3 linked regions of the Arabidopsis thaliana genome follow. The protein of the gene in region 1 interacts with the protein of each later gene in a pairwise test. Each region holds a gene or a part of one and is shown on either strand. Other genes may lie near its edges. The genes, in order: FD, GF14 PHI and TFL1.

Region 1 (10,982 bases):
ACCTTCCTGTCGGATTGTGATGCATATTGAGCATCAATGTATAAAAGTCTTTGAGTAGTTTCTGTTCAAAGTTCTCTCTTTTTATTTACTGAATTTGTAATGTCGATACTTAAATGCTTATTTTGATGTACGCCTTCATTTATCAGTGTGTTATCCAACTCTCAGTAATTCTATTTATCCTGATTCAATAGTAAAGATGCTTCTTTGTCTTTAATTTAGGGAATTGCAAATGCTTCTGTTCCTGCACCAAAGCAAGCTGGCCGTGCAAACCCTAATCCAACTCCAAATCACTCGCGCCAGAGATCATTTAAACAACGCAATGGCGCCTCTGGATCAGCTAATGGTACTGTTTCTCAACCATCAGCGCAGGGTTCATTTACCGAATTGCCTTCGCACAACCCTTCTCCTAGAGGCCAAAACCAGAAGAATGGCTTTGCGTCACAAAACCATGGTGGTACTGAAAACCCATCTCAACGAGACTCCTACAGGAACCAAAACGGTAATCATCACCAAAGTCACGGTGGCAGGCGCAATCAGGAGCACGGGAATCAAAATTGGACTTTTCAAAGAAGTTTTAACGGGAGAGAAGGAAATGCGCAATCGCAAAGAGGTACTCCAGCTTTTGTAAGACATCCATCACCAACTGTGCAGCCAATTCCTCAGTTTATGGCAGCTCAGCCTTTTCCCAGTCATATACCCTTCCCTACTGGTGAGACACATTGAAAATCACGTCTTTGAATTTCATTTATGATTTGCTAATGCGTCTTCTCCGTTTCAGAATTGGCACAGTCGTCGTATTATCCCCGTATGCCTTACATGACACCTATTCCGCATGGTCCGCAGTTCTTCTACCATTATCAAGATCCTCCGTTACACATGAAACTGCATAAGCAAATACAATATTATTTTAGGTAGTACCCTCGTATTTAATTTCTCTTATTCTTCTCGACGATGAAATTCCCACTGATCAATTCACTATAGGGAAATACTAATTTAGATGCAAATGTGTCTTTTGTTACAGTGATGAAAATTTGATTACAGACATATACCTTCGAGGGTTCATGAATAATGAGGGTTTTGTTCCGCTACGTGTGGTAGCTGGTTTCAAAAAGGTAAACTAGATGTATTGTCTTTCATACTGGCCCAGTTCACTTCTCTCCGTTTATATTATAAACAGTAGAATTAAGAGTTTCATTTCTGTATAATTCAACAAATGTTTTTTTTACTGATTAGGATTAAGGCGAATTTGTACTTACTACTTAGTCCAATAGGATCTTTGATTCTTTTGTGACTATTTATATAAAGATGTGGCATGCATGTACAAACTTTCAGCAAATGGATATGCTCTTAAGATAGTTGAAATATGTTAACAGTGGGCATGTATTGAGAAATTCGATTGTGAATCCTTCGTTTGTTCTTATATACTGTGTTGCATAATGTTGAACCTGAACAAGTAGGACTTATTAGCTAGCTGCACAGTAGGCTCTACACCAATTTTTTTTTGCTTTTCTTTTTCCTTATCCTAGTTACTATAACATTTTGTTGCTTTGTACTCGTCAAGAGTTCTGTTATTATTCTCTGTGAATTTTATCTATGTTTTGTTTTTTCTCTCTCCTACTTCAGGTTGCAGAACTTACAGATAATATCCAGCAGATAGTGGAGGCTCTTCAAAATTCACCTCATGTTGAAGTGCAGGTATTTTTTGTATTATGTGTCCTTTAATGTGTAAACTATTGAATTCCATCGTCTTTCCTTGCTAGTAGTATGGTAGTGTGTGATTGAACTTAAACCTTTCTATTAGGTATTTGATTTTGATTATTCTGAGAGATAGCTTATCAAAACTGGTGGAACTGAAAAAATAATCTTCGTGTTACCTCTTTGTGTGCTTGGAAAACTTTTACCTTTATTTAATTGGACATACTTTTTTCTTCTTCTCAGGGTGACTTCATAAGGAAGCGCGATAATTGGCAAAATTGGGTGCTAAGGAGGAACCCTACAGGTTCCGGCCCCCAATCTGTTGATAGGGCAGATGCAGTGGCAAAACGACTTGGAAACTTGTCAGTTGATCAGAGTTCGGCTGATCCCATTGGTGGTTCGAGCAGTCAGTTGCAACCTACAGAAGCTCTTTCAGATGATCAGCAACAGTCTTCTAGTACTGCTCCAGTGAGCAACCACAACGCCCCAGATGGTGCAAACCGTTGAACCATCAAGTTTGGGGGCTGTTGGTTAGTGTTGGACATGAATATATTATTTTGTCTTGCCCAAAATGAGGAAAACAATAATGAAGGGGAATCAAAAAAGAAAGAAAAGAGATAAAAGCATAAAGAGAAGAGACGCATATGAAAAAAAAAAAAAAAGGATCAAACATTTGTGATTCTTCTAGCTAGCGGAAACTTTGGCATATTTATGGGTTCTTTTTTTTTTTGGTTATTTTTGGATGCTAATAACTTTTTTTTATGTTTATGCTACATATGCTATGATCATTATTATGGTTGCTTGTAGCCATTGTTATGGTCTGGGATTTATTGGTTTTGCTTGCTAATACTCTCTTATAACCCCTGTTACTGTTTTTTTGTTCTGTTCTGGATTTCAATATTTCGATTGTTTTTATGGGTTTGAGAGAGTTAAAATAAGAGGAGTAGACTCGTGAATCTCTTCTAATTCTTCAAGCAAAAAGAAACTTTACTTGAGAGAAAGACTTGTGAGTCTCTTATACCTTAGCAACTTCGTCGGTGTGAGAAAAAAACAAAGTGTACCTTTATTTGAATTTCTATACCTAACATTGTAAGACGAACAAGTAACACGCCAAAAACATGTACAAAAACGGCAGCGTCTTGTGGTTTGCTTTGCTGTGAACATGAAGCAAACACGTGCTTTAACGCTCTACTGGCTGGCATTGTACTGCTGTGTTATGTTGTGTATGATTTTGAATGGAACAGTAAACCATTTAAAAAAATACAAAAATTGGAGAGTCGCTATGTAATTAAGAATTTAAAAGTAATAACATTAAATAACTGTTCTTGTATTTTTCAGTTCGATCAAGAAATAACTGTATTTTTATTTTTATTTGCAAAATCAGCCTAAGGCATTTCGTATGTTACAAGATTATTTAAACACTAACTTACCAAAACAGCAAAAAGGTTAATGTGTCTTATAAGGCATTTCGTAAGTATGATAGTTTATAAATAGCATGGATTCTATGTTTTATAAAAATAAAATAACACAACTTCATACATAAGTTTAAATACAATGTAGCAAAAAGGTTAATGTGTCTATTCAAAAGTTATAAATAATTCATAGTGTGTATAGCGTTTTAACCGTGAAATTTTCCCTTTGTTATCATCAGTTTTCACATGTGTGTTAATTCATATTGAAATTATTTGGTTCACTTTTTGACTAGTTAGGTACTTACTTATTTCTCATAAATGTTTTACATTATTGCAGCGAATTAAGCTTAACGTAATAACAGTATAATGTAGATCTCTCGTAATAATGAAAGCTGACTTTTCTACACCTAAAAGTCTAAGACGATCTAGTTATCCAAGGCCCTCTCTACTTGATTTAGTCATAATTATATCTAATTAAACACTCACATAATATCAGAATATTCTATATGTTCACCCAAATGTGGAAAATAATCAGAAACGGCCCAAGAATAGGTTCAATGTCACAATCCATGCGAAACAAAAAATCAGAACTATTCTTGATAGACTAAGAAAATAGTAAACCCTAATTCACAAAACACACCAAAAATATAGAAAGTTGTCTCAATTATTCTTACCATTTTGGAGATGTCAAGTACACAATCCCACCCATCTTGACTATCCAACGGTTAGCATTCTTTTGGCTCTTTCAACTCCAAGTTTTTTCCTTTATTTATTTTTATTGCTAATTTTAGCAGTAAATTATTACGTCTACTTTGCTTCCGTACGGTCTAGAGACAACCTACGGACAGATGATGATTGTACATACCAGTAGACTTACAGAATCCAACGGTTATTGAACTCACGGGTCATTCATATTGTTCGTTGGATTATAAATTTGAATGTAAACGAACATGAATAATTAAAAACAAGTTGAGATTTGTCTCTTCATCAAATCAAATCACTTGTCCACCGAGTTCGAGTCTTTTTTCAAGCCAACGAGTCTATCTTAAACCCTTTTACGTCTCTAAATATATAGAGATGTAATTAGTATTTTATTTCTTCACCACCAAACAATGTTTTATAATTGTAGGAAATCGAGATATATAAAACAATGAATTATTTTGCACTTACTACTTTTGGTAGGCATATTTCATGTTGTATGATAGTCCGGAAAATTTTATATAACTTGCTAAAACAGAATTTGTTTCCATTTATATGCATTGTTTAAAAGTAAACTAAAGAGGATATTAAAAGACAGAGAAATAGATTTGATGGAGTTTGGGACAGAGCAATATAGTGCTGACACCTGTCCAATCCCCTGAGACGTGACATGTCACACTCCTTTCTTATACAACTTACAAGTTCTCTGCACAATTTTATGATACAATGGACATTTGAATTCACTCGTTACAGACTATACCCCAACTTTATTTTGAGTTTATTTTGCAAAAATGATTTGAGACTGGGAAAATTTGTTTTATTTTCGTCAATGAATATGCGTAGTGACGTCGATACTAACAAAAGTACTACTCTTTACATTCGAATTTTTGGTGGTTGCGAAACGACAACAAAGATCTATGAAATTTGTGTTTCACATTAAAAACTCAAAATGTATTTTGAAACCCAATGTTTGGAAACATGTAAACAAATTAAAGTCTTTGTACTTTTCACCAACAAATGGAAAATATATATCTTCTAACAAATATGAGTATTTGAGGAGCTTGCATTTTCGATAAACAGCTCCTAATGTAGTACTCTTTGCATGTTCAAAAGATGGGACGTTTCCTTGAGGGCTGATTTCAACATTCAGAGAAAAAAAATTATATACATGTACGGAAATGAATAGTTAATCTTGTTGAATAGAATAAGAGAAGAGGAAAGAAAAACAAATATCGTATGTTATTATAGTTTATATATAATCAACTTGCAATAAAGGAAAAATTTGAAAAGCGTGACTAGATATGCACTTGGAGACTGACTTACATAGTAGATACGATAATCGAATATCTAGATATCTGGATGGTACTCATATTATTTGTTTATTACGTATGATCAAAGATTTATTAATATGTATCATCTTCTACTTGGCTTAATTATTAACTAGTTTAGTATTCGTCTCTAATCTTCAAAACAATCAACATAAATATCTAAACTATATTGGTCATATAAAATCTAATACTTTACTATCCACTTGTAATGTTTGTTTTGTTCAGAGTTGGAGACCCACATAAATTGATTTCCCTATCCGTATTGTAAAACAGACTATTGACACTTTGATCAAATCTCGTTGGATGACATGAACACCAATGATTTGAAGTGGGGAACAATTCAATAGTTAACAATATTTTTGTTATTTAAATGCATTTCAACTATACGGTCGATATTATTTGAAATGTTTGCAACTACATATTTAAGAAAACGTTAAGTGCAAATGACCCGTTCTTAAACACTCCGAATCTCATATAAAATAAAGTTTTTTTGTACTAATCAAACATATAATTTTCAGACTTTTAGTTTTGATAGAAACAAATTACATATACGAACACCCAAGTACTACTTTTTATATTCGATAATATTATTCTATCTTCGTTTAAAATATATTAACCACATCAAGAAAAGAGGAATGAAATATTCTAACGGAATTAATGTTTGCTGCCAAAAACAAAAAAAAAACAGAAGAAATTTTTACATTTGAGTTTATTGGTATAGTAGTTAGGATTTTGTGTTTTATTATATATTTAAACGAATTTATTTAATTATTTCTAATACAGAAAGATGTATATATTCTTATCTACTTTCATTTTGTTTTTAATGTTTTATTTCGTCAATACCCTTAGGGGAAAAAAGTGTATTTTGGCAAATTTTCCTTAAATCTAAGAGCAAGAACAAAAATTAAAGTCACACATGAAAGTTGAAAGTGATCCAAAGGGATTTGATATTAGAAAATAGAAAGTGAGATAAAACCAAAAATAATTTTATATATTTGCCTGGCTTTTTACAAGCATCTCACCCCCACTCACTCTTTACATTTAAGGATGATGAAAAATACTTCACTTTTGAAATAATCAAACACCATTTTTAATCTTTATAATAACTCTGACGTTGAAGACATCAACAAACACCTTTAATTACATATAATAGTTTATGGAATTTCTCTTCTTCTTCTTGAAATATATTATTTAATTGGAAATAGTTCAATCCCTCTGTCTCTTCTTCTGGAGTCTTGGACCCAACCCCATCATTCCAGAAATGACCGGCTAAAGTCAAGAACCTCTCTCTGAGCTCTCACCACTTTCTCTCTCTACTCCCTCTCTGCGTGTAGGATACTACTAGACAATTGACAACCAAAGACTAAAGCTGTGTTGTTGGTTCACTTCTGTTCTCTTTTCCAATGTTGTCATCAGCTAAGCATCAGAGAAACCATAGACTCTCTGCTACAAACAAGAACCAGACTCTCACCAAAGTTTCTTCCATTTCATCCTCATCACCATCGTCTTCTTCTTCATCATCATCAACCTCATCATCATCTCCTTTACCTTCTCAAGACTCTCAAGCCCAGAAGAGATCTCTTGTCACCATGGAAGAAGTTTGGAATGACATCAACCTTGCTTCCATCCACCACCTAAACCGACACAGCCCTCATCCACAACACAACCACGAGCCAAGGTTCAGGGGCCAAAACCACCACAACCAAAACCCTAACTCAATCTTCCAAGATTTTCTCAAAGGATCTTTGAACCAGGAACCAGCACCCACAAGCCAGACCACGGGTTCTGCGCCTAATGGCGATTCCACCACGGTCACTGTTCTTTACAGCTCTCCTTTTCCACCTCCTGCAACTGTTCTGAGCTTGAATTCCGGCGCTGGCTTCGAGTTTCTCGATAACCAAGATCCTCTTGTTACCTCAAACTCTAATCTTCATACCCACCATCACCTCTCAAACGCTCATGCCTTCAACACCTCTTTCGAGGCTCTGGTTCCATCCAGTTCTTTTGGTAAGAAAAGAGGCCAAGATTCCAATGAAGGTTCAGGGAATAGAAGACATAAGCGTATGATCAAGAACAGAGAATCTGCAGCTCGTTCCCGCGCTAGGAAACAGGAATGTGCCTCTCCTCTTCCCTCCTAATCTTCTTCTACTCATGTGTATCAAAAAGGGAAGAAAAGAAATGTGGTTTTGCCATCAAATTGCTTTTGATCTAAAAAAAGGTCTCTTGGTTTTGATTCTCATTTGCAGGCTTATACAAACGAGTTAGAACTTGAAGTTGCTCACTTGCAGGCAGAAAATGCAAGACTCAAGAGACAACAAGATCAGGTAAACAAGCAGAGCCAAGTTCTTAATGTTTTACCCTTTTGTAGCACTCATGTCATTAGATCAATTCCTTGTAGTTTAACCAACTTATAAAAAGAGACAGACAGACAGCCTCTGGAGTATATTTGTTTTACACACTTTTTTGTCCAATGACATTTTGGGTGGTTAGATTCTGATACTTCAGTTGTGTGTTTATTATGTGTGTGTGTGTGTGCAGTTAAAAATGGCTGCAGCAATTCAGCAACCCAAAAAGAACACACTTCAACGGTCTTCCACAGCTCCATTTTGAGAAATCTACAAGTCCTTGTTTCTCTTTTGGGGATTGAGATTGTCTCATGAAGAAGTGAAAAAATGGCAAAAGTTTGTACCCTTTTTTATTAGCTATAAGTATAACTAAGCCTAAAATTGTAGAACTAAGATATTGTAGGGGAAAAAAGAAGATGTAAAACAAAAGACCCGGAAAGAGAAAAGGATCTTTCAATTTCCTAAGGCACAGGAACACCTGTCCTGGGTCCTCTCTTAATGTTCTGTCGTTTTCCTATGCAAACCCTTTTTTCACTTCTGTACTAACTTCTACTTGTATTCTTGTTGTAGTAATGTTCTACTTCCTCTTCTAATACTAGTAAGAAAAAAAACCTTATGTTTTACTGTTTAACCAATTTGGTTCTTAAAAGAAGCAAAGGATCAAATGACCAATAGACAAAACAGTGCTCCACTTAAATGATGACAATACCAGAGAAAAGTGAGAAGGGGACCTATCACTGAACATTTAATTTTCTCCCTATCACATTATCACATAAATATCCAATCCTTTGGCTGTCTACCATACAAGCCAACAACTTGCAATATGATTTTGAAACCTCCAAGCCAATGGGAATTAAGTTCACCACTTTTCGGGTTGGTCAAGAGAGAACATGATAAGTTTCTTATTCAGCATGGTCACTCCCCACGTTTTATTTATATTCATAGTACATAGTATTGTAGCTTTTGCTCTAACTGGTCACCATCAAAAACACTAGGTGTGTTTGTATTCATTTGGTTTATCAAGAGAATAGTTTTTATCTTCTTTTGGCCCAATTTCATTTACCTGACAGTGATAAGTCTTGTTGATCCACTTTTGGTTGTTGATATATTGCTGTGTATTCTTTTAAGCAACCAAAAGTGGACATCAAGAGCTAATATGGTGTAAATATAGTGGACATTAAGATAAAGAAGAATAGTTACCAAAAGTGGGACTATGACTAGAATCTATCCTCACATTATATGGTTACACTTAGAGCCCCTCAAATAGGCATCCAATACTTTAAATCATGCTTCTACTTTCATTCCAGTCAATAAGAATCCTAGACTTCAAGAAACTTTAAACGAAAAAGTTGGTTTATTCACCTGAAACTACACACCTATAATGTTTTTCAATTGGTTACATCAATGTTTCCCATCAAACATTCATACTTAAAAATGCTACCAGAACTTGGCCACAAGCCTAAAAGAGAGTTTAGAAGAGATGATCAGGTAACTAGTACAGAGGACAGAACGAACCATTGATAAGTTGCTGCAGATACAAGCTGATACCTTCACTCTGACCATTTTATTTCTTTTTGGGTGCAAAAGCAAAAGTCATTAAGCTTTTGATGCATCACCTTCCTCCTCAAGTATTTTTCCATCCTTTGGAACCAAGCATGGAATCCCATCTTTGATCTAGCGTGTTAAGAGAAGCAAAATCAAGTCTTAAACATTGAATCGTGAACATGAAGTGAAATCTAAAAAGAACAAGAAGAATATCATTAAGAAGAAAACAGCCGACCAATCACTTTAGCATATGATTATTCCATCAGTGAATCCCAAATCAACACCAAGAATAAATTCATTTTAAACATTATTTAGTATGAAGCAAATGAAGAATAATGAAAGAATCAAAGTCTATATATATATACACATCTCAATCTTTGATTAGACAATTCCTAAAAGATCAAAGTTGGGTTGAGAACATGTTCACTGAATAAGAGAGCATGATTCTGAAAGCAGATATGATAGTGATTTCGTACAATTTCACTGTTTGGAGAGTTAATAAGCGCCATAAATCTAACTTTCATGGAGCTCAACAGCTCACAAGCATCTGAATCGAAAAAATCAAAAAGCTTTGGATAGAAGCTTACAGGAAAAGAGACACCAATAGTATCGCTGACAAGTGATTTCGTCTTCTCGCAAAACCTATCAGCAATCAATTCACCAAATTGCTTAAACAAGTTCTTCGGGACCAATCGAATTTAAGCTATGTACATTTTGAAGGAGAGAAATCGAACCTCAGAGGTTGCTTAGAGAGAGGGCACACCAGAATCTCGGAGAGGGTCTTGTCAATTACATTGCCGGCGTCTTTTAGCAGCACTCTGTTTAGTCTCACCATTCTAAAGCTTTGATCTTTAGCTCTCTCCGGACTTTTTCCTTTTTTCCGATCTCCGGTAGAATCGACCGGCGTTGAGCGATAGTTTTGGACTTTTTGAGTAAAAACGCAAAACGCCCCTATAAATTTAAAAGTTTCCAACCATGCCCCTCAATTTTTATGTTTCACAAACGGTCCCTTCAATGTGTATATATTATTCTAGCTAGGGGAGAAAATTTTCAAATATAAGCCTCTATATTTTATAGTTCTTGTTTGATGCCCTCAATTCTAATTTGTTGACCATTCGTCCGTCGGACTTTATAAATTGATCAAACATTAAGCGCTTCGTGTTATAATGTCTATGGGACATTGGTTAGAATTTACACAGATTTCTTATCCAGCTATTGGAAGATGTTGATCACTTGCACTCTAGATTAATGCTCCTGAATCTCTGATTCTGCGCATAGAAATATTACAAAACTTGATTCTCGCATCACCCCTAACAAGTTTACTACTTGTGTTACAAATTGTAAACTTCCCATGATTCTTGTATTATATGTGTAAAACTGTAGATGCTTCATTCAATTGCTCAGTGATTTTGCTTCACATTGAGACAATCATTGTAACGAATGAGTAAAAACACTTTTAACATCTACGATGATATCAGATCGACATTAAACTAAGATGATCTTAGGTTTCTAGGAATAATCCTTGATAAGCATGACAGGATTTAAACTTCCTCTCATACCTTGTGCAAGCATCCGAATGCAGATTTAGACAACCTCTTCATCGTCCAAGAGCAGACAGTCTTTAATTTTCTCCCTGAAATAAATGGAAACCAATGTTAGGAATCTCAAATAGTGTTTCACTCAGTCTTGATCTTGGTTGTTTTAAATCTGATGCTTCCTAGAGACATGAACTACCAATAATGTAGGTAAAACGAATGGAAAAGGAATCCAAGTTTGAGATCAGAGTTAATGCATACTACTCACCTCAGATAAGCTTGACTATCAACTTTTTGATGTTTCACTTGGGAAATCATGTGATCTGGTAGAAATGAACTGAATTGCTCAAGAGATGATCCATCCTGTGGAAGTATTTGAAACCGGCAACTTGAACAGCAAGCAGCATAGAGGACATCAGATTC
Region 2 (10,841 bases), on another chromosome or scaffold:
TTTGAGCATTAAAAAGACCTTAGATAACAAAGTTGTGTCTCTCTGAAGTCAGAACCAAAAATATAAGACGAGAAGGAGATCAATGGAGGAAGAATACATAAGAATAATAAGCATAACAACAATAAGAATAATCTCATGGGGTCTCATTTTCATCCTTGTAAGACGAATCTTCTCAAGCTACTCGTTCGACTTCAGCACCCGTATAGTCTCAACGCTTCACGCAACAATCGCTGTCACTTTAGCAACTCTCTCGATTCAAGATTGGTCTTGTCCTGTTTGTCCCATTGCTTCTACATCGTCTCTCCGGCAGATGGAAACGTTGGCGTTTTCATTGTCGTACATGATCTACGATCTCATTTGTAGCCACTTTGATCAAGTCCTTAGCATTGATAATGCGGTTCATCATTCTGTTTGCATTCTTGGTTTTGTAGCTGGACTTTTCTACCAAAAGGTACATATTTTCCCCCTCTTTTATTTCGTTTTTAATGGTAACTTGTAGTCTTGTAGATTATGTACTATGAAAAGTTGGATCTTAAGTAACTAAATAAACTTATTTTTTGTTGTGAATATATGGTGGATTTAAAGTGTGGATCCGAGATGGTGGCAGCAATATGGATAACAGAGATCTCAAGTCCGTTTCTTCACCTCAGGGAGATTCTTAAAGAGATTGGTTGTAGAGACACCGACCTAAATCTTGCAGCCGATGTGAGTATTTACATACATACATACTTTTCTTATATGAATTATAATTAGTAATTATTTAGTAATGCTTAGAAGAAAATTGTTATTAACATTTTAACTTGAGATAATCTAAAATCAAGAGATGTTAATTATTAAGATTGTTAGAGATAAGTTCTTAATGAGTTAGCTAGCTATCATTTCTAGGAATAAATATACAAAACCAACACGTTAACTATTGTCAAATCTTGCAAGTTTTGTAAAAACACTCTACATTATGGCTACGAAATCGATATTATTGTTTCTAAATCTAGAGATGTTAACTAAAATAAATTTATAATATTATGGCGGGAGAATTACGTAATAATAATCATTATTTTGTGGAGGTGTTTTTTGCAACAATTTTCTCGGTGGCCCGAATGGTGGGTGGACCTTACCTAGTTTACGTAACAATACCAGCTGATAATCCCATCCTCATCAAGGTATACAGTATCTTAATAGATGAATATGATTTACATTTCGTTCTAGGCTATACTTATTATTGTTTCATCAATTGTTCATAGTTTTATAAAAATGTGAAACTTTCAAAACTGAAAAGAAGATTTTGTTTAGGAAAAGATGCTAAAATATTTTTCATGATCACAAATTTCAGTTGAGATATAACATTTCATGTGCGTTTTTTTGTGTTCTTATTTTCTTAGGTAATGGGGTTGGGATTACAACTTGTGAGCGCGTTCTATAAATTACTCAAAATGATGAGATACAAATTTATTAAACGATCAATGTCCACCAAAAAATCGACGTAGTTGAAATTCCAAATATTATGACTCATGTGCTTTTCTATATGTAAATTATATGTAAGGAATCCAAAATGTCGACTTAATCTAAAAGAAAATAAACGATATGAAAATCTATAAAATTTTGTCTGATAGAGGTTATTGGTTAGTGAGCATTCCAAACGGATATATATTTTTATAGGAATATGTCATTTACATTTTTGTTGATTTAAAGTATGAGTACTTAGTGAATAAAATGCTCTCTTTTTTTTGTTGACTTTCAATCTAGTTACAAATATTTTTGTTGATAAAGCCAATTAAAACGCATCATTAACTAACTAGACGGAGCAATCAGACACTGTTATGTGTATGTTAAATAGCTAAACGAAGTTGTTTTCATCTAAACAACGCCGTTTTTACTAAAAGAAACTCTCCTCGATTAATCGATCTAGGAGTTTTCTTATGATTGAAAACACCGTTGTTTAGCTAATTAATAGACTCATTAACAGACACATAACAACATCTAATTGTTCCGTTTAGCTAGTTTACGATGTGGCTCAATTGGCTTTGTCAACAAAAATTTGCGATTAAATTAAAAGTCAACAAAAAATTGAGCATTTTAATTATGAGGTACGTAGACTATGCTTTAAATTAACAAAAATTGATAATTGATCATTTTTTTTGTCAAAGATAATTGATGATTTAAATGACATTTTCTCCTATTATTAATATATATATATAGGATTTGTTTTGAGATAAAATTTTGAATTCAAAAAAAAAGGAACAAGGAAAGTAAAAAAAAAACAACTAATCAATGGAATCTTTAGCCAAAGTAACAGCTTTATTTGTCAAAAATCACAAGTAAACTAAAAAAAGGTAGAAAAACCATTATAACAAGAATGTAAAGAATAATAGTGGAAAGAAATCTCGTAAAATTTCTTCAAGTCAACCTTACCAAGTCTTGCTTATTGGCGGATCTAGACGGTATTCAAATTAGGGACACAATCATAAAAATTTGATATTAAAAATGTTATTGCAAATAAATAATTTACATTAATGTTCAATCCATGACAGCTATCTATGGTTACTTGAGATGGCTCGTTGAAGTTTACATCTTATGAGCTTAAGATCTTCTGTCAAAAAAATTGTTGTCTGGCATATTTTCATGTGCCATTCATTTAGGAAGATCACAAACTTATTTGGGTTCTACATGGATCTATAAACTCATTTCAAATTATTCTAGAGTAACCCGCGGACGTGAAAACGTAGAGATCGAATGTTAGGTTTTCACATGACGCCTAAACGACAGTTTCGACCGCCTAAGATTATATATGCTTCGTTTTAATATTTTTTTCCAAATTTTAATTACTCAAATTCAAATTTGTTAAATTTTGTCTTCATATATATAGTTTAATGTTCAAATGTTGTTTGATATGAATTAATGTACGTTTTATCTATTTTTTGTTTTGTAAATTTAAGATTTTTATTTTTTAATTTATGTTTTAAATAACTTTTACATATAATAACATATTTATAATATTTTATACTATAAACGCTTTAACCGCCTAAAACTGTTTAGACCCGATGAAGCGTTGCATTGGGTTACCGCCCAATTAACGCCTAACGTTTTCTTGAACATTAATCTCTACCTTACTATGAGTGATGCTATCAATTAATCAGCTTTTGAGAGGTATTGACCTCGTTCATGTTAACTTTTGGTTGAGGTCTGCAAAACAATAACTGGTGAACGAGGTTGATACAAACTTTGGTAAGTCCCATTTGATTCAAACCTATATGCCCAACACTTGTTATTCCTACGCAAATCTCATCGAAATTCACGCAAATTTTGAGGTCAGTGTTTCCTGTAATAATCTGTATCAGTATTAGCAAGCGCTCATTCTCAAACAGCGTAAATTGTGTGTGCATAACCTAAGCAAACTCAGAAAACACAATTGCAAACGCAGTCACATGTATACAAAAACGCATAACCAGGTGAATGGCAAATCATTAATAAGAGAGAAAACTGAGTTTCAAGTACAAGGCATAAGCCGGGAAATGCAATCAATCAAGAGAAGAAGTAAAACAAAACAGAAATCCAGTAGCATCCACGATTGAGAAAAGCAAACAAAGGACAAGAATTAGACGGCCTTAGAAGCTTCGGGGATAGCAAAGGAAAGATTAGAAAATAAACACCAAGCAGAAACATAATTATAATTGCATAACTTAAGAATACTGAAAAAAGAAACCACAAACTTAGATCTCCTTCTGTTCTTCAGCAGGCTTTGGTGCTGCTGCTTCTTTAATCTCCTCCGGACTTTCGTCCTGATTAATCGTCGAAATTAACACAACAGAATCAGAGATCAAGACCAAGAAGCTCATGAGAGTATTATCATACATAATGCAAAACTAAACCATCTGATTCAAAGCTTATGAACAATGTGTGTGCACAATTCCAGCATCATGAGCCACTAAGCCTATCTATCATATCCATTATCAGCAATGAACTATGTTGGTGGACAATTCCAAAACTATTCTATCATAACCATTATCAGCAGTTTCGATGAAGCAAAGAACGGTTTCGTTTCGATCGTTTACCTGCATGTCAGAAGTCCAGAGAGTAAGATTGTCACGAAGAAGCTGCATGATCAAGGTACTATCCTTGTATGACTCCTCTCCAAGAGTATCTAACTCAGCAATGGCTTCATCAAACGCCTGTTATATCTCAATATCAATACACATAGAGTAGTACCAACACAATGACTCAAATCCCAAATAGATCAGAAACTTTCTCATCACCTGCTTAGCGAGATTACAAGCACGATCTGGAGAATTAAGAATCTCATAGTAAAACACAGAGAAATTCAAAGCCAAACCAAGACGAATCGGATGCGTTGGAGCCAATTCAGCATTAGCAATATCCTACAAACAAACAAAAGAAACACAGATTCACACAAATCATGATTTAACCTAGAAATGAGATCCAACAAAATTCCAGATCGGAGAATAAACCTGAGCAGCTTTGTAAGCGGTGAGAGTATGTTCAGCAGCATCTTTCCTCTCTTGACCAGTCTTAAACTCAGCCAAATACCTATGATAATCTCCCTTCATCTTAAGGTAAAAAACCTTAGAATCTCCATTAGCAGAAGCAGGAACAAGTCTAGTATCAAGAAGCTTAAGAATACCGTCACAGATTTTCGATAACTCAGATTCGATCTTGCTTCTGTAATCACGGATCGTGGTCACATGGTCATCGTTACCACGACTCTCTTCTTTTTGTTCAATGGAAGAGATGATTCTCCAGGAAGCACGACGAGCGCCGATTACGTTTTTGTAAGCGACGGAGAGGAGATTACGTTCTTCGACGGTGAGTTCGTCTTTGTCAACGGCTTCAGCGACTTTTTCCATGAATTCAACCATTTCTTCGTAACGTTCCGCTTGCTCTGCGAGCTTTGCGAGGTACACGAACTCTTCCCTCGCCGAGGATGATGCTGGTGGTGCCGCCATTAGAGATCGGTGATGGATGGATTCAGATCTGAGAGAGATTGAGAGAGATTTTTTTTTTTGTTCTGTTTTCGAATTTCAATTTTTTTTTTGTTGGGGTTTAAAAGATAGTTTTGTTTTTTTTGGTTTTTGTTTGAGTGGGGAGCGACGATTGCGAAAGGAGATGGAAGGAGGACCGTTGGATTAAATTTTGTACACGGGAATTTTCTGATACTTTTTGGGTCGGTTTTTAGGTCATCTCCAACAGCAGTTTTTTAATGAGTATCTGGAGATTAAAAAAATAAAAAGTAATGAAAAAGGTGGAGAAAGAAAGAGAAACGTTTCTCATATGAGAAACTATGAGAAACCCAACTCAACCCCTTGTTATTTATGATTGGTCAGATTTTGTCTTTATAATATAAAATTTAAATAAATAATATATTTATTATTAACTGATTAAAAAAATAGAATTGAGAAACTCATACTGTATCTGTGCGTTGGAGATGCCCTTAGTTTATTTTTATGTGGAAAAAGTTACTTTGTTGTATTTTGATTCCTTAATGGACCTTTTACGTCCATATTGGCATTTTGTAATTTCTGTTGATTGAGCAATTTTTTTTTTAAGTTGAATTTTGAAATTGTTTTGTTAAAAAAGAAAGAAATTGTTAGGTTATTAATTATTATATATTGTATAAAAAATATCTTTAGAACGTTTTATTTTAAAATTAGTGCCAATTTATTTTATGCAATTTATTTTATTTTTCAAAAAAAAAAACTAAATATATATAGACTGTTTAACCTATTAATTTAAAAGAAGTTTTACTTAATGATGTAATAAATAAAATTTTCACAAGACTTATTCTAATGGAAGAAACTTCAAACAATTCTTTTAAAGAGATATGTTCTTAGGAAATAAAAAAATTAGTTGATCAATGATATTTAGTTTAGTATTTGATTTGTTGGAATTAGATTGTACATATAAACTTATTATTACAGATTTTTTTTGTTAAAGTTATGTTAGCTTAATTGTACAAAAATATCACAAGCAGATGCTTGATAACAAGAAGAGAGAGCACATGCCTACATTGGCTCCTCCAAGCAGATGCTTGATAACAACAATAATGTGGACAGTTTGGATGACGAATGAAGTGGATGAGAATGAGTTTGATAACAAAGATCAAGATGAAGTTGTTCATGAAGAGAAGAAAAGTGGGCAGAAAGAAGAACTTCCTTCCAATATTTCCGATCCAGTAAATTGGGATGACATGAATATGAGATTCAGAGATTTATTAGTTGAAAAGGGTCTAGCGACAAGGTTATCAACTAATTACCGGTTTCGTAAAGATAGTATTGGTAGGCATTTTTCTCAAACATTTTACATAAGAGAAATGAGGAATGGGGAGAAACAAGATAGAAGATGGTTGATTTACTCAAAAGCATTAGATTAAAGTCTTTTGTTTTTGTTGTAAGTTGTTGAGACATGACAAAAAAGGTGGTTACTTGGCAACTAGCGGGTACAATGATTGGAGAAATCTTTCAAAGCGACTCAAAGAACACAAAGGCAGCCATGATCACATTACTTGTATGACTCGTCGAGCTGAGTTAGAGTCTAGACTACAGAAAAATAAAACGATTGATAAGCATGCCCAAGAAGCAATAAACAAAGATAATATTCATTGGAGGGAAGTACTCCTAAGGATCATTGCATTGGTGAAAACTCACGCTAAAAATAATTTAGCATTTCGTGGAAAAAATGAAAAGGTTGGCCAAGACAGAAATGGGAATTTTTTGAGTTTTATTGAAATGATTGCAGAATTTGATGTCGTAATGAGAGAGCATATCAGAAGAATTGGTGCAGCTGAGATATATTCTCATTATTTAAGTCACAAGATTCAAAATGAGCTAATAGGTATCTTGACCGGTGAGATTAGACTTATGATCATGAAGACAATACATGCTTCAAAGTACTGTTCCATAATTCTTGATTGTACTCCGGATATTAGTCATAAAGAACAGATGACTATGATCATTCGATGTGTGAATATTTCTTCAACGTTAACGAAGGTTGAAGAGTTTTATTTGACATTTTTGGAAGTGAAAGATAAATCAAGTGAAGGGTTATTCTCTAAGATTAAAGAAGCATTAGTTGATATGGAGTTAGAGATTGATGATGTGAGAGGACAAGGTTATGACAACGAATCTAATATGAAAGGAAAAAACAAAGGAGTACAAAGAAGATTGTTGGAAATTAATCCAAGAGCATTCTACACACCATGTGGTTTTCATAGCCTCAACCTTGTGCTTTGCGATATAACATCTTCTTCGACAAAGGCAATGTCTTTTTTTGGGAGTTTACAGCGAGTATACTGTTTGTTTGTATCTTCAACAAACAGGTGGGATATATTTAAAGAGATGGTAAAAGGTCCAACACTTAAATCTTCATCTCAAATTTGTTGAGAGAGTCATCTCGAAGGTGTCAAAGCCATACGTTTTCAAACTCTTGAAATCAGAGATGCTTTACTTTATTTGGCAGAAAAGACCGACGATCCAAAAACACGAAGTGATGTGAATGCCTTGCAGAGAGTGAAACACATGGTATTGGAGTGTTTGAGATTCTTTTTGGTATGATTCTTTGGTATGATCTTCTAGCTGTTGTCAACCGAGTGAGCAAGACTTTACAATCGGCTGACATTGATATTGATGTTGCTATTATCGAACTAAAAGGACTCGTTTCATATCTTCAAAAATATAGAGAGACAAGATTTGAGATTGAAAGTTTGAGGTTGTATGACTTGCAGAGGATATGGATATAGAAGCTGAATTTCTTGTAAAGAAGAAGAGGACCATTCGAAGAAAGAAGCATTTTGATGAAGTTTCAGAAAAAGGAGATGAGAATATGGACTTGTCACCAGAGGAGGATTTCAGAATTAATTACTTCTTCACACTCATAGATCAAGCTCTAGTTTCTCTTTAGTCAAGATTTGAGCAATTCCAAAGGTACGAACAAACTTTTGGATTTCTGTTTGATTTAAAGAAATTGACATCTGCAAGTGATGAAAGTTTAATGGCATCTTGTGTGCACCTTGAATCATCCCTCAAGCATGGTGAGCATTCTGATATAGATGGCTAGATTTGTTTATGGAAATAAAAGTTCTACGAGAAGTATTACCAAATGAAGTTAAGAAACCTATTGAAGTGCTTGATTTTTTGAAAAGAATGGGGGGTTGTTATCCAAACACATGGATTTCTTATGGGATATTATTGACCATTCCAGTGTCAGTTGTTTCCGTCGAAAGAAGTTTTTCTAAGCTGAAGTTGATCAAGAATTATTTGCGGTCTAAAATGTCATAAGATAGATTGAATGGGTTAGCTATATTATCAATTGAGAGAGCAATGCTTGAAAATATCAACTATGCGACTGTGATGGATGATTTTGCAGGACAAAAATTCAAGAAGGATCATATTTACTAAGTAGAAATTTATTCAAGTGTTGATTAGCTTGTGGTCGACACTTATGTATTCTCTCTTCTATCTCTTGGTTTATGTTTTGGTTTAGTTTTGATTCTTTATGTTTTTTTATATGTCTAAACTTCTGATTGTTCTTTTGAAGTTCAAAAAAAAATTGTTTTCAGTATGGATTTAAGTAGCATTTAAAAGGGGGAAAAAAATTTAATCTTGCTTACGGTCTCGCAAAACATTGAACCGGCATTGGCTCCTCCGCATCAAAAATTTCGTGGATTGAGAAGTCTGAAAGTTTAATAAGTTACAGTGCAAAAGATGATATTAACAAAACAAAGATCCAGCATAGACTAGTTCAAAGAAGAGGATATATACTTACTAAAAGCCTTGTGATTTAGTTCTTCAAAGGCAACCGGACATAAGAGGTTTTTGTAATTTAATTATGTCATGAAATAGCTCCCTCATAGATGGTGGTAAAAGATCCGACATCGATGCTCGATGAAACCCGTTCGACCACGGTAGCAAAGCAAAAAGGGAAGAAATGAACAATTTAATTTAGGGTTTCTAGAATTTGGCAACTAGCCTTCGGTTTAGTTTGGATGACTTTCGACATTTTTTTGTAATTGTGTCAATGCTGGTTTTCTCGAGTTCAATCTTTAATCTTCAACCAAATTTGTGACTAATTCATAAGTTTATTAGCTCTTTTCGAGAAAAACATGTATAAATAGTATTATACGATTGTACAAGATAGCACATGACTTTTAGGACTTTAAGAGTATTCTAAACTCCAACAGTTTTTTTTCTACCAATCAAACTTTTTTGGCTTTATTTTTTTAAAAAGTTCTTAAAGCCATTTTTTTTTATTTTTTTTCCTTATTTCTCTTTCTTTTTAAAAGCCTCAAATACACGGCTGTTAAAACAAATGTGTAGAAAACTTTTTTTTCTTCTTTCCATAATAAATTAAAAGTCTCTACAAGTTTATATATATCTTGTTTCACAATTTTTTTGATAAATTAATTATTATTATTATTTTCCTTTTCTTTTAAGATCCATTTCATAAATAATAAGTTTATTTGTATCATCCCCATTATTGTTGGTCTAAGTAGTATTCTTCAGAATTCATATACATAAATAATAAACATAGCATAAATCAATGATTACATACATATGTAAAGATCTCTATATAAGATGTATAATTCAGTCGATATTTATGTCATTCAATTATTTCATTAAATAATTTTTCTGTCAGCTATTTTTGTTCGTAATGAAATATATTTTAATGGATTGTTGACTGCTCAAAACTATACAACTACTCAACCAAAAAGAATCATTCAAAAATTTATATTTTTCGAAAAATACTATTATTATTAGTCATAATAATCGATTAAGAATCATTCAATAACTAAAAAAAAAAGGAGAAAAAACAAATTGAAACTTACTAAGAAAATAATTGATAACATAATCTACATTTGAAATTATTATTGGTTTGTTAGAAAACATTATATTTAAATATCAAATTTGTTTGTAATTAATATAGAATAATAAATAATAAAATTTACAGCTTTTACAACTTTCTGTTGCCAATCAGACTAATAGTTAACGTAATCAAAGCCAAAGTCTCTACAACCAAATTATCCGCAACTCAAATTTTTAGAGTTGAAGCCAAAATTAACAGTCAAAACCAATGGGCCCTTTAGCTTTACTTTATTTGGTGAGTAGTCCAATTTGCTATTTAATCAACCTACCAAATCTATATGTTAATTTAGAGCTTCGACCAAAATTTTCACGGAATCCCTTTTTAGGCATAGGACCCTCTTTCTCGTCTAATGTCTTTCATTAGGGTTGAGAAGAGAGCATTTGAGGAAATAAGTCGTGTATTATTCTAAGTTAGTCCAAAGTTTAGCAGTCGCCTCTCTTTTTAGCTCTAATCTTCAAGTTATCAAGTGTTTGTTCGTAAGTCTCTTAGAAAGTCTTATCTTCTTTCCCCGCTTGTTCCTGGATCCTTGAGTTTGGGCTGATTCCTCTCCGTGGACTTCTTACTCTCTTTAAGGGGTTCGTTTTAGTTGGTTTAAGTGTTCAACAATGTCTTCGGCTATGGATAAAGCTATGTTAGCTATGTCTTTACAAGAAGAAGAAGAAGATCAGCCGTTTGATATGCCGGATCTACCGGAATTCTCCTCTTGTGAAAGAAATGCTCTGAGTTTGGTTGGGAGATTACTCAATCCCGATTGTCAAGAGATGAAGCGTCTGATTCGAGATATGCCAAGGAAATGGCAGAAGGAAGGAAGAGTGAAGGGTATTGCTCTGACTAGAGAGAAGTTTCAGTTCATTTTCGAGAATGCTCACGATCTCAAAGACGTGCTGGGAAAAGGTGCCCAAATCTTTGATGAGTGGTCTATTGCGATTGACAGATGGTATGAGAATCCCCCTGAAAACTATCTACAATTC
Region 3 (10,206 bases), on another chromosome or scaffold:
GGAGACGGAGATGGCGACAGATTTAGGAGGTGGAGCGATCGTCGGAGATTGGGGGATTCGTTTTCCCGGTAAGGCGGTAACGGAAACAGATGATCACATGAGCGTGCTCTCAGAGGCCCAACAACAACAATTCCAGCCCATCAAACAATGACTAGCCCATTGCCAGGTTAATTCTCAACCATTTCTCTTCAAAGGTTTTTTTGCAAATTTTATTCAAGTTTTTGTTTAAAGTTAATTTTTTTCTTAGCATTTTTAATTTTTAAATAATAGAAATTTGGATGATAAATTACAATACGATGTGAGAACAAACCGGATTTTGGATCCCGTCGTTGATCGATAGCGATTCCAAATATTCAACTTGTTTTTACATTGTTTTATAGATTTATCATACAAATTTCTTTATTTAAAACTTTTTTATATAATTTTTAAGTTTTTTAAAATTTTAAATAATAGAAATTTGGATGATAAATTTACAATACGATGTGAGAACTAACCGGATTTTGGATCCCGTCATTGATCGTTAGCGATTCCAAATATTCAACTTGTTTTTGTATTGTTATGTAGATTTATCACACAATTTTTTTTTTTTTTTTTAAGTTTTTAAAAGTTTAAATAATAGAAATTTGGATGATAAATTTACAATACGATGTGAGAACTAACCGGATTTTGGATCCCGTCATTGATCGTTAGCGATTCTAAATATTCAACTTGTTTTTTTGCATTGTTATGTGGATCTATCATACAAGTTTCTTATTTGAAATTTATTTTTCTTATTATCTTTTTAGTTTTAGTTTTTAAAATTTTAAATAATAGAAATATGGATGATAAATTTACAATAGGATGTGAAAACTAACCGGATTTTGGATCCCGTCATAGATTGTTAGGATTCCAAATATTCAACTTGTTTTTACATTGTTATGTAGATTTATCATACAAGTTTTTTTATTTGAAATTTATTTTTCTTCGAAATTTTAAATAATAAAACATTGGATGATAAATTTAGAATACGACGTGAGAACTAATCAGATTCTAAATCTCGTCATTTGATTGTTAATGATTCTAAAAATTCAATTTGTCTTTTTACATTTATCATACAAATTTTTTAATTTGTTTTTTTTGTTATTCCAAAAATTCAACTTGTTTTTCTTAAATTAAAATTCAGTGATTAATTTTATCGTAAAGTGTAATTGAAACCAAAGAAAAATAAACCAAAGTAAATGAAAACGCCATCTTTAACGAAAAAAAAATGAAGAAGAAGAAGCAATGAAACAAATACAAAATTGATAAATTAAGCTTGGATTTGTAAATTAAACATAAAAGCATGGATTCGGTCAATCCAAATTATTGAACCGGCTGGGCGAAAACAAAATTAAAATAACTGAACTGATTCGGTTATTGAAAACCGAGTACCGAAATTAAGCAGGCCTATAAAATGCAAAGAAATCCCTTATTCTTTCGTCTCTGTAAAATTAGGGTTTTTGCCTCTCACGCTTATCGCCGCATCTCCGTCAACCTTCATCTACAGGTATCTTCATCGTTTACAAATCTTGTCTGTTGTATCTCGAATCGATTGCTATCTCTTGTACATTTTCTTCTGCTAAATCTGTCTTGTATCGAATCTGTTATTTGAAGTTAGCCCCTGTTTTCTTAGATAATTGAAACCCTAGTGTTGCTCCTGTTACGATGAGAAACTCTGAAGATTGAAACTTTCATAACAAGGAATTCTGATTGTGATAATCTCTGTAAAGTTGATTGCTTTACATGAAACTGTGTACTGATTGTGTATGCATTTGATTGATGTTTTAATGTGAATTTTCATGGTTTTGGTTGATTGAATCAGAATGGATTCTCAGATCAAGCACGCTGTGGTGGTTAAGGTCATGGGTAGGACTGGTTCAAGGGGTCAGGTTACTCAGGTTCGAGTGAAGTTTACCGACTCTGATCGTTACATCATGAGGAATGTTAAAGGACCAGTGAGGGAAGGTGATATCCTCACCTTGCTCGAGTCTGAGAGAGAAGCTAGGAGACTTCGTTGATCTTCTTCTTCATACTCCAAAATGCGGAAACAAGAAAACATTTGGTTATTTCTCTTTTGCTTTCTTTGATTGGATTAGTGGATTATGCATTTGGAGTCTTAATTTTGTTGTTGCTTTAAGACAATTGCTGCTGGATTTATAAGTTGTTTGGTATTCAAAATCTCTTCATCCCTTTTTTATATTGTTCATCAAGAATTTGCTCTATTCTCCATCTTGTTCTACCTGAATCATGTGTTTTGGGTTATGTTTATAACTTGGGTAAGCAGTGGTGTGGTCTTGCCATCGCCACAGATCTTGGATTCGTAGAAGAATGGTTATATTGGTTTGGTTTTTCCAATTGAAAATCGAAGCTTTAATCGAGTCCAAAATGTCTCTGAAATGTATCAACCAAAACTGATATAGGAAGCTACAAGGCTAAGATAAAATTTGAAAGCAAATATGTTTCTACCCTAATGTTTGAAATCTCTGCTTCAAATTAAAGTAGTACTCCAACCAGAGCAGCTAATACCTCATCAGAATCACTTTCTTCTACCCTGGTCCGTTCTGAGTCCAACCTTGATTTCATCCGTGGTGGTAAGAGTCTTAAGACTGTAGCGAGTGTAGACTTTAGTTTATTGATAACATCCCTACTTTGTCACCATAGTGACCAGGCTTCTCGTATTTGAGTTCTATGGCTCTTACTTGCCAAAAGAGCTTCCTTCGTCAAAGAGGTGTTTTGGGGTCGCCAAAGTTAATAACCAGAGGCCGGGGATAGAGAAGATTCTTTTGGGGGGGTTTGGGGTCGTGACTCATGTCGTAAGTTGTTGCTTGCTACATCTTTTGGATTAAGCTTCACCTAAGCTAAATAGCTAGTTGATACGTTGTCTACTTTTTTTTTTTTTTTGTCGTTGATACGTTGTCTACTTGTATTGAGCACATTGATGTTTCTCTTTTCTTTTTGAAAATTCGATTTATCTTTTTTTTTTTTTCTAAATTGTTAAAGGGTTGTCTTGTTTGGAGAATTTGTTGTAGACAACTTTATATAAGTTTGATATATTTTGCTTTGTGCCTTTATTCTGATTAATTACCAAATCTTAATAAAGCATCAATCAAGACTTTCTAATATAAGAAAATAAATAAATTATTATTTAGTGGAGAATCCATAATAAGTTAATAATCATTATATTCAATAGGACAAAACCTTTGGGTGTGTTTATATTAGTCTACGGATTTTCTGATTTGTATAACACTTTTGGTATTTCAGATTAATAGAGTATTATGGTTGAAATATGCATTCGTAAAATCTTCGGAAGTTTTAAGGTTTTGTAACTAATAATCATATATAGAATCCCAATTTGAAGAATCGGTTCTTCACGTTGGTTTTATTGATTCGATAAAAAGAAGTTTTTTTAAGAATCAATGCGACAATGCGTTGTCGTTCCACGAGCAAGGAGTCCCAAATCTGCGATATGTTTCTTTCAAATAGCCTCTGAGCTAGGCCTGGGCATTCAGTTTCGGTTCGGTTGCGCATGGTTTCGGTTATTTCGGTTATAGTAATATAAGAACCATTTGGATATTTGAGGAATTTTGGTTCGGTTCGGTTCGGATATCTTTCGGTTCGGTTCGGTTTGGATATTAAACTTGGTAACCATAAATAAACTAAAACCGAAATAACCGACTAAAAACCGAAACAACCAAAAAATTTGACCAATAACCGATATAGAACGTACGTAAAAAAGAGAAATATTCACAACTCACAAAGATGGTCCATACTCTCCATAATATTAAAACACCTGATTCACAACTCACGAAATTCAACTTGCAAACTAATAAAGAGAAAAACATAGTTAAGTGTCAATACATACTGTGATATATTATCTATCATACATATATGCTTTGGTTTTCATTTGGTTATCGGTTATTAACCTAACCGAAACCGAAACCGAAATCTAAGACATATAATATTCAACCGGTTATTTTAAGCTATCCAAACCTGAACCGAACCATGTTTTTCGGTTCGATTCGGTTCGGTTAATCGGTTAGCGGTTTTTTTGCCCAGGCCTACTCTGAGCAATAATTGTATCCGGAGTTGTAATAGAATCAAAGTACGATGAGAGTGTTTTTATGACAAATATCTTAATCTTGGCCAATTATATGTTCTACTGAAATTCTTTTTGAATTCATCGACCAGTGAGACTTAAAAATAGCTTTTTATTCGCCGAGGTATATATAGCTAGGAATTTTGTCGAAATTTAGACGTTAGTGGGTTTTGTTCTTCGTGACACAAAAGATATTCTATATATTAACGAAATCTAGCGATCGATATGGTATTTATATAAAGTCTTGGTCATAGATAGGGGTTGAAACTTGAAACCATGCATGATATGCCAATGTTGCTGAAGCAGTCAATGTTGCTGAAGAAGTCAAACGTAATTATATAGTGAATACCAAAAAAGTGATATTTCTTAATTCAATTAAATATAATTATAGTTTTAAATCACCTAAAATAAGTTACTTATTAAAACCCCCCAAATTTACTTTAATATAGTTGGTGTACATGTTTGAGAAAGCAAACAAAAAGAAAAAGAAAAAGAAAAAAAAAAGAGAAAGAGGTTAGTACACATAATTGGGAATTAATGTCTATTGATTCTTTTATCTTTCTCTCTCTCTCTAAGACGGAAAACCCCTATAAATAGATGTCTCGGTCGTCTCTTTGTCTCCCAAATCACTACAAATCTCTCTTTTCCTCTAAGTTAACAAAAGAAAATGGAGAATATGGGAACTAGAGTGATAGAGCCATTGATAATGGGGAGAGTGGTAGGAGATGTTCTTGATTTCTTCACTCCAACAACTAAGATGAATGTTAGTTATAACAAGAAGCAAGTCTCCAATGGCCATGAGCTCTTTCCTTCTTCTGTTTCCTCCAAGCCTAGGGTTGAGATCCATGGTGGTGATCTCAGATCCTTCTTCACTTTGGTAAATACATATATTTAAATTATTTTATAATAATGTTGGTTTTATTTATATTGTGCCAAAAAAAACCATATAAAACGTCTCACTTCCTTTTCCTCTTACAAGTTTTCCATTTCTAACTCAATAATCTTATAAATTGTAGCTTTAGTTTTTATCATTCCTTTTTCCAGTCTTTTTTTTTTAATGGTAAAACTCAACCGAAATGCAAAACAGGTGATGATAGACCCAGATGTTCCAGGTCCTAGTGACCCCTTTCTAAAAGAACACCTGCACTGGTACGTTTAATTTATTTATTCTTTCTTTTCATTTTGGGCCCATATTCCATATACATTGCATTTAAATCATTTCGTTATAACCCTAATAAAGTTTTTTTTGGGTGTAAGTTATATACATTTGAGTTGGTCAAAGATCTCCATCGCCATGAGTTCTCAGAACTTTTTCTGTAAAGTAATAATATTAGTATTGTTGAATGTTTCAATAGGATCGTTACAAACATTCCCGGCACAACAGATGCTACGTTTGGTAAGGCCTCTTCATGAATCTTGTAATTTAAATACTTATACATATATCATGTTATATAGAAATAAAAATATTTGCATTGTAATATAGGCAAAGAGGTGGTGAGCTATGAATTGCCAAGGCCAAGCATAGGGATACATAGGTTTGTGTTTGTTCTGTTCAGGCAGAAGCAAAGACGTGTTATCTTTCCTAATATCCCTTCGAGAGATCACTTCAACACTCGTAAATTTGCGGTCGAGTATGATCTTGGTCTCCCTGTCGCGGCCGTCTTCTTTAACGCACAAAGAGAAACCGCTGCACGCAAACGCTAGTTTCATGATTGTCATAAACTGCAAAAATGAAAGAAGAAAATTTGCATGTAATCTCATGTTTATTTGTGTTCTGAATTTCCGTACTCTGAATAAAAACTGCCAAAGATGAGTTGAATCCGAAATATCAATTGAGTTTACAGAAGTATTGATAACGATCTGTCGATTATCAGAATAAAAACTAGATTAATTGCATATCATGTTTAGCATTGTAATACTACAAAAATAGTAAACTCTTGATTAATTAATAAAATCTAAGTTGCTGTAGTATATAAATCATTAAATCCTCATACATGGCTTGATAGGTCACATCACATGTAGTGAACCTTATTATATGATAAACGTGGAGATACGGAAAAGGATAGTTAAACGATGAAAACTTTTTTTAGTTCTGGTCAAAGTGACAAGACCTTGATGACCATCTAAAATATGATCCTCTCCTCTTCTTACTCGGCGATCATATTCATATCTATTTTCACGGCTGGTATTGTGACAAACAACCACCTTTTATTTTCAAAAAAAAATCTAATAGGCATATGTATATTTCTCTATAGGGACCCTTTCTCTATATATATATTTATTACATTCCAAAATTCAACGTCAAAAATATAGATTTATTGGGTATAAATCCCTCACTAGCGTAGACATGTCCGCGGTAAACAAAAAATGTCTCTGCCTACAAACTATATAATTCGAAACATATTAGATAGAAAAGTCAGTCTTCAATAAAATATTTATTATATGTATATATGAGGTATGAGATATAGTTTTTTGTCAAGAGTTTTAAGAAAAAATATCTATATTCAACCGAATAACCATTAAATAACAAGTCTTAATCATTAAAATGCTTACAATATTTTCATATTTTTACTTAAGATTTTACTTTTTGCTACCTTGCAAGTTGCAAAAGTATAATTAAGTAATTAACAGTCTAGTTTTTGACAACAAGAAGAAATTAGCATTCTACATTGATTCAGTGTTCAAATGGAGAAAAGTTTTTTTTAAATGGATTGGCCATTTTGGGTGTATAAAGAATATAGTACAGCCTGAATGATAGACCCATCTTTGAGAAATGAGAGATGCAAGTGGGAAATATTAATTTCAACGGTAAACTCAAGAGAGATCACGTGTCATTAATTCAGTGGTTAGCGGCTAAGTACTGTTACAATTATCCTCAACGCCGACCAACTTCTGGTTCTCTACATGTATATTCGCTATCATATAAACAAATCTAGCAAAATACGACTAACTTAGTAACTTGTTTCGATTTTGTTAGATTACTATTACATAGTTTGGATTCTCGTTTATTAACAAATTACCAAATATCATAAACATTTTTCGTTCCAGCTCAATGACTAAAGGTATTGAAATCGAGTTTAAGTTCAATGTGGGTTTCAATCATTTTATTTTATTTTTGCTTAAGAATAGTCAAAGCAAAATTGATCAAAAACAAACTGGTTTTGGTTTCATTGTGAATTAAAAAAAAAAAGGGATAAGATAAGGGTTATCTACACATGTGCCATAACAAAATCTTATGTAATTATTGCTTCCAAGACTTCAGAGCTAAAATAAATAAAGAAAAAACTGAAGAAAAAACAAAGAAGTATATACAGTACACCTACGTAGGCAAATTGATTCGCTACCAAATCAAGGGCATGCAAAGACTTTAGGATTTGCCTGAAAAAGACACTGTGAACTAGAACATTATATAGAGTTTTAGGGTTTCAGTAACACATAATGTGCCTGTGTTGTGTTTAGCCACTTATGGTTATTTTCATAGCTAAATATTTTTCCAAAAGTGAAACACCATTTTTATTTATAAAATGACTGGCCCCTCGCGTTTGGTGTTATTACAAATCAACACGTGCTCTGTTCCATTCCATCCCTGATTTTACTCAAAATTTTGCTACATCTAAATATATTTCTTATTGCCAAAATTGAGATGGTGATTGGTGTCAGTATTTGGGTATGAATCGTTTTGAACTAAAAGTCTAAAACATTATGTAGAGTATTAGGGTTTCAGTAAAACATAATGTCCATGCGTTGTGTTTAACTACTTATGGTTGTTTTCATGGCTAAATATCTTTCCAACAGTAAAACACACTTTTTATAGCGTATTTTATTCATAAAATGAGTGGCCCTTGTTATTACCAATCAACACGTACTCGGTTCTGTTCCCTCCCTTCTTTCACTCAAAAATTTGCCTAATCTAAATATATTTGTCATTGCCAAAAATTAGTTTACTGTTTGGGTGTGAATCGCATCGAAATGCTCTTCGTATGTGTCATAAAATGAAACTGAAAATCGTTTTGAAATTCATAAATACGTATTTAAGAAAAATCGTTCAAACATATGATCTCTCTGCCAACTGCCAAGTACATGTATTATTTGCTTATACATAAAATTTAACTAAAACTCATTTGAAGATCATTTATATTCGTTTCATTTCTCTTTTCATCAAAAACCAAAAATAAAACAAAAAATCTAAAATCAAAAAACAAAACTGTCATGCAAAATAAAATATTGTTATAAATTTGATGTATCTGATTTATAATTTATGCAAACTCAAGTCTTGTCACAAGTAATTACTTTCTACATGTACGAGCATAGTTATTTCTTTTTCATTTCACGGTACACATTTTTTTTTTCACGGTACACATATAAATCACATCATTCAAATCACGCATTAACTAACGAATTATATCTACCGGTACATAGATTTATAAGTACATTAACATCTTCTATTTCACCGGTACGAAGCCGCAAACCTGGTGATTAACCAGCAGTGGAAATTATTAGCCGCCATACTTCGGTTTAGAACGACTCTCGAGGACAAACCAACATGCAATAACCTTACGATTAAAAGAGACGACCTGTCGTGTTGCATGTAGTAACAAAAAAAAAAAAGAGAAAGCAAGAAACATACTAACCCTTGGACCGAGTCTACTGGTCCTTCGTATAAACACATAAATTCTAATATTTTAAAAGTTTAGGGCTTTGTAACATAGAAAGGCTGTCTAAATTTGATTGGTTAACGTGTCGAAGAGTCGTGCTAGGTCCCCTCATGTGTTAAGGTTTGATCCTCGTATAATATATACTCACAACAAGTAACCAACATAAAGTGAGGAGGAGGTACATTTACACATACATGTAGACAAAGTAAATTCAATAATTTAACCAAAAAAAAAAAATTCTAATAAAAACAATTTCCATCTTTATAGCTAACCCATAATATTGTATTGCTGTTACAAAAAAAAGGCTATATGGATTTCAATCAATCCTCTTTTTTGTGGAAAATTTTGAGTTTCTTTTTAGGATCTAAAAATACTAACCAAAGTAAAACTGAAACGAATAATATGTTGTTGTTAGGGATAATTCTTCCAACAGTTTCATCTTCACAAGATCTCATTTTAATATCAATTTCGGATTGGTCCAGTTAGAACAATTTTATATACATATTTGATCATATCAGTTTTTGGTTTGGATTGGATAAAACGTGTGTTCATATTGTGTTACTATGTTGAGTTTTATGAGTTTTCAATTCAAAATTAATTTACAAGTAACTAGATTACCTATGTTTTGTGAATAAAATTAATCAAATCGTTCATCAGTTACAACTAAGAAATAAGAATTATGATTTGTATAACTATTTTCTATCCAATATTTTTTTTTAAAACATAAAGATTCTATGTAAACAAAAATAAATCATATATATGTTTTCTTATAAAAATATCTTCAAGTGGTAGGAGCTTCTTCTGCGATGCTTTTGTACTGCGAAAGCTGCAAAAAACATGTGTCTCTTTCTCCTTTTTCATTTTTTTCTGGTTTTACTTTCCTTTTTGTTTGTTTTCTTTTTTTTCTGTTGCAAATAACTTTGTATTCAAGCTCAAAGACTTTCTTTTGGAAGAGTCTATTTGTTACCAAAGTAAAAACATCACAAGCAAATTGTCTTTTGGGAGAGTCCAAGGGTTGACGAAGAGAGTAGATAACACATTTGCTGTTCACAATCTTGGTTCTGATTTACACAATCTAGCTCGAAATTTCTGGTTAACATGCATAGCTTTGAGATCATTTATACATAGCCAACTATATTGTTTATTCCCAATGATCACCACTGTATTCCAACGCGCTGTGATCCACTAACACATACTTGAGTATATTTTGTCAACACTACTGTTTCATCTTCTGAAAATGTCTCATTTGAGTATATCTATACACATACTTTTATAAGATAAATACAAAGTTTACACTAACTCGTGCATTTAACTTTAGTGTTATGAATCAAATAGACCAATCTACATCTGTTTCTAACTAAACTTCAACACTTACAATTAAGAATCATTGATAGCATTTCACACTGTTTCATATAAACCCTTGAGCAAAAAAAAAGA

What was found.
Region 2: the proteins of FD (region 1) and GF14 PHI interact in a two-hybrid assay, tested with the Arabidopsis thaliana proteins (one study listed by BioGRID).
Region 3: the proteins of FD (region 1) and TFL1 interact in a two-hybrid assay, tested with the Arabidopsis thaliana proteins (2 studies listed by BioGRID, with this or other methods).

What each region holds. Positions count from the first base shown.
Region 1 is NC_003075.7:16,998,209-17,009,190, forward strand, and holds FD (Basic-leucine zipper (bZIP) transcription factor family protein), read left to right. Parts: upstream 1-6,313; 5' UTR 6,314-6,537; coding exon 6,538-7,245; coding exon of another isoform or gene 7,246-7,272; exon of another isoform or gene 7,273-7,380; coding exon 7,381-7,458; intron 7,459-7,672; coding exon 7,673-7,744; 3' UTR 7,745-8,100; downstream 8,101-10,982. Other genes in the region: LARP1c (winged-helix DNA-binding transcription factor family protein), read left to right, coding at 220-709, 779-911, 1,022-1,112, 1,624-1,695, 1,939-2,202; AT4G35905 (Trm112p-like protein), read right to left, coding at 9,076-9,153, 9,612-9,666, 9,759-9,859; AT4G35910 (Adenine nucleotide alpha hydrolases-like superfamily protein), read right to left, coding at 10,609-10,657, 10,828-10,982. UniProt on the Arabidopsis thaliana protein: Transcription factor required for the transition to flowering promoted by FT.
Region 2 is NC_003070.9:12,861,381-12,872,221, reverse strand, and holds GF14 PHI (GF14 protein phi chain), read right to left. Parts: upstream 5,097-10,841; 5' UTR 4,959-5,096; coding exon 4,464-4,958; intron 4,374-4,463; coding exon 4,251-4,373; intron 4,167-4,250; coding exon 4,050-4,166; intron 3,861-4,049; coding exon 3,708-3,860; 3' UTR 3,332-3,707; downstream 1-3,331. Other genes in the region: AT1G35170 (TRAM, LAG1 and CLN8 (TLC) lipid-sensing domain containing protein), read left to right, coding at 83-451, 586-705, 1,065-1,160, 1,380-1,484; AT1G35150 (General transcription factor 2-related zinc finger protein), read left to right, coding at 5,984-6,249, 6,413-7,119, 7,515-7,663, 7,735-7,896, 7,969-8,064. UniProt on the Arabidopsis thaliana protein: Is associated with a DNA binding complex that binds to the G box, a well-characterized cis-acting DNA regulatory element found in plant genes.
Region 3 is NC_003076.8:1,020,372-1,030,577, reverse strand, and holds TFL1 (PEBP (phosphatidylethanolamine-binding protein) family protein), read left to right. Parts: upstream 1-4,705; 5' UTR 4,706-4,781; coding exon 4,782-4,991; intron 4,992-5,201; coding exon 5,202-5,263; intron 5,264-5,469; coding exon 5,470-5,510; intron 5,511-5,597; coding exon 5,598-5,818; 3' UTR 5,819-6,078; downstream 6,079-10,206. Other genes in the region: AT5G03850 (Nucleic acid-binding, OB-fold-like protein), read left to right, coding at 1,842-2,036. UniProt on the Arabidopsis thaliana protein: Controls inflorescence meristem identity and is required for maintenance of an indeterminate inflorescence. Prevents the expression of 'APETALA1' and 'LEAFY'. Also plays a role in the regulation of the time of flowering in the long-day flowering pathway.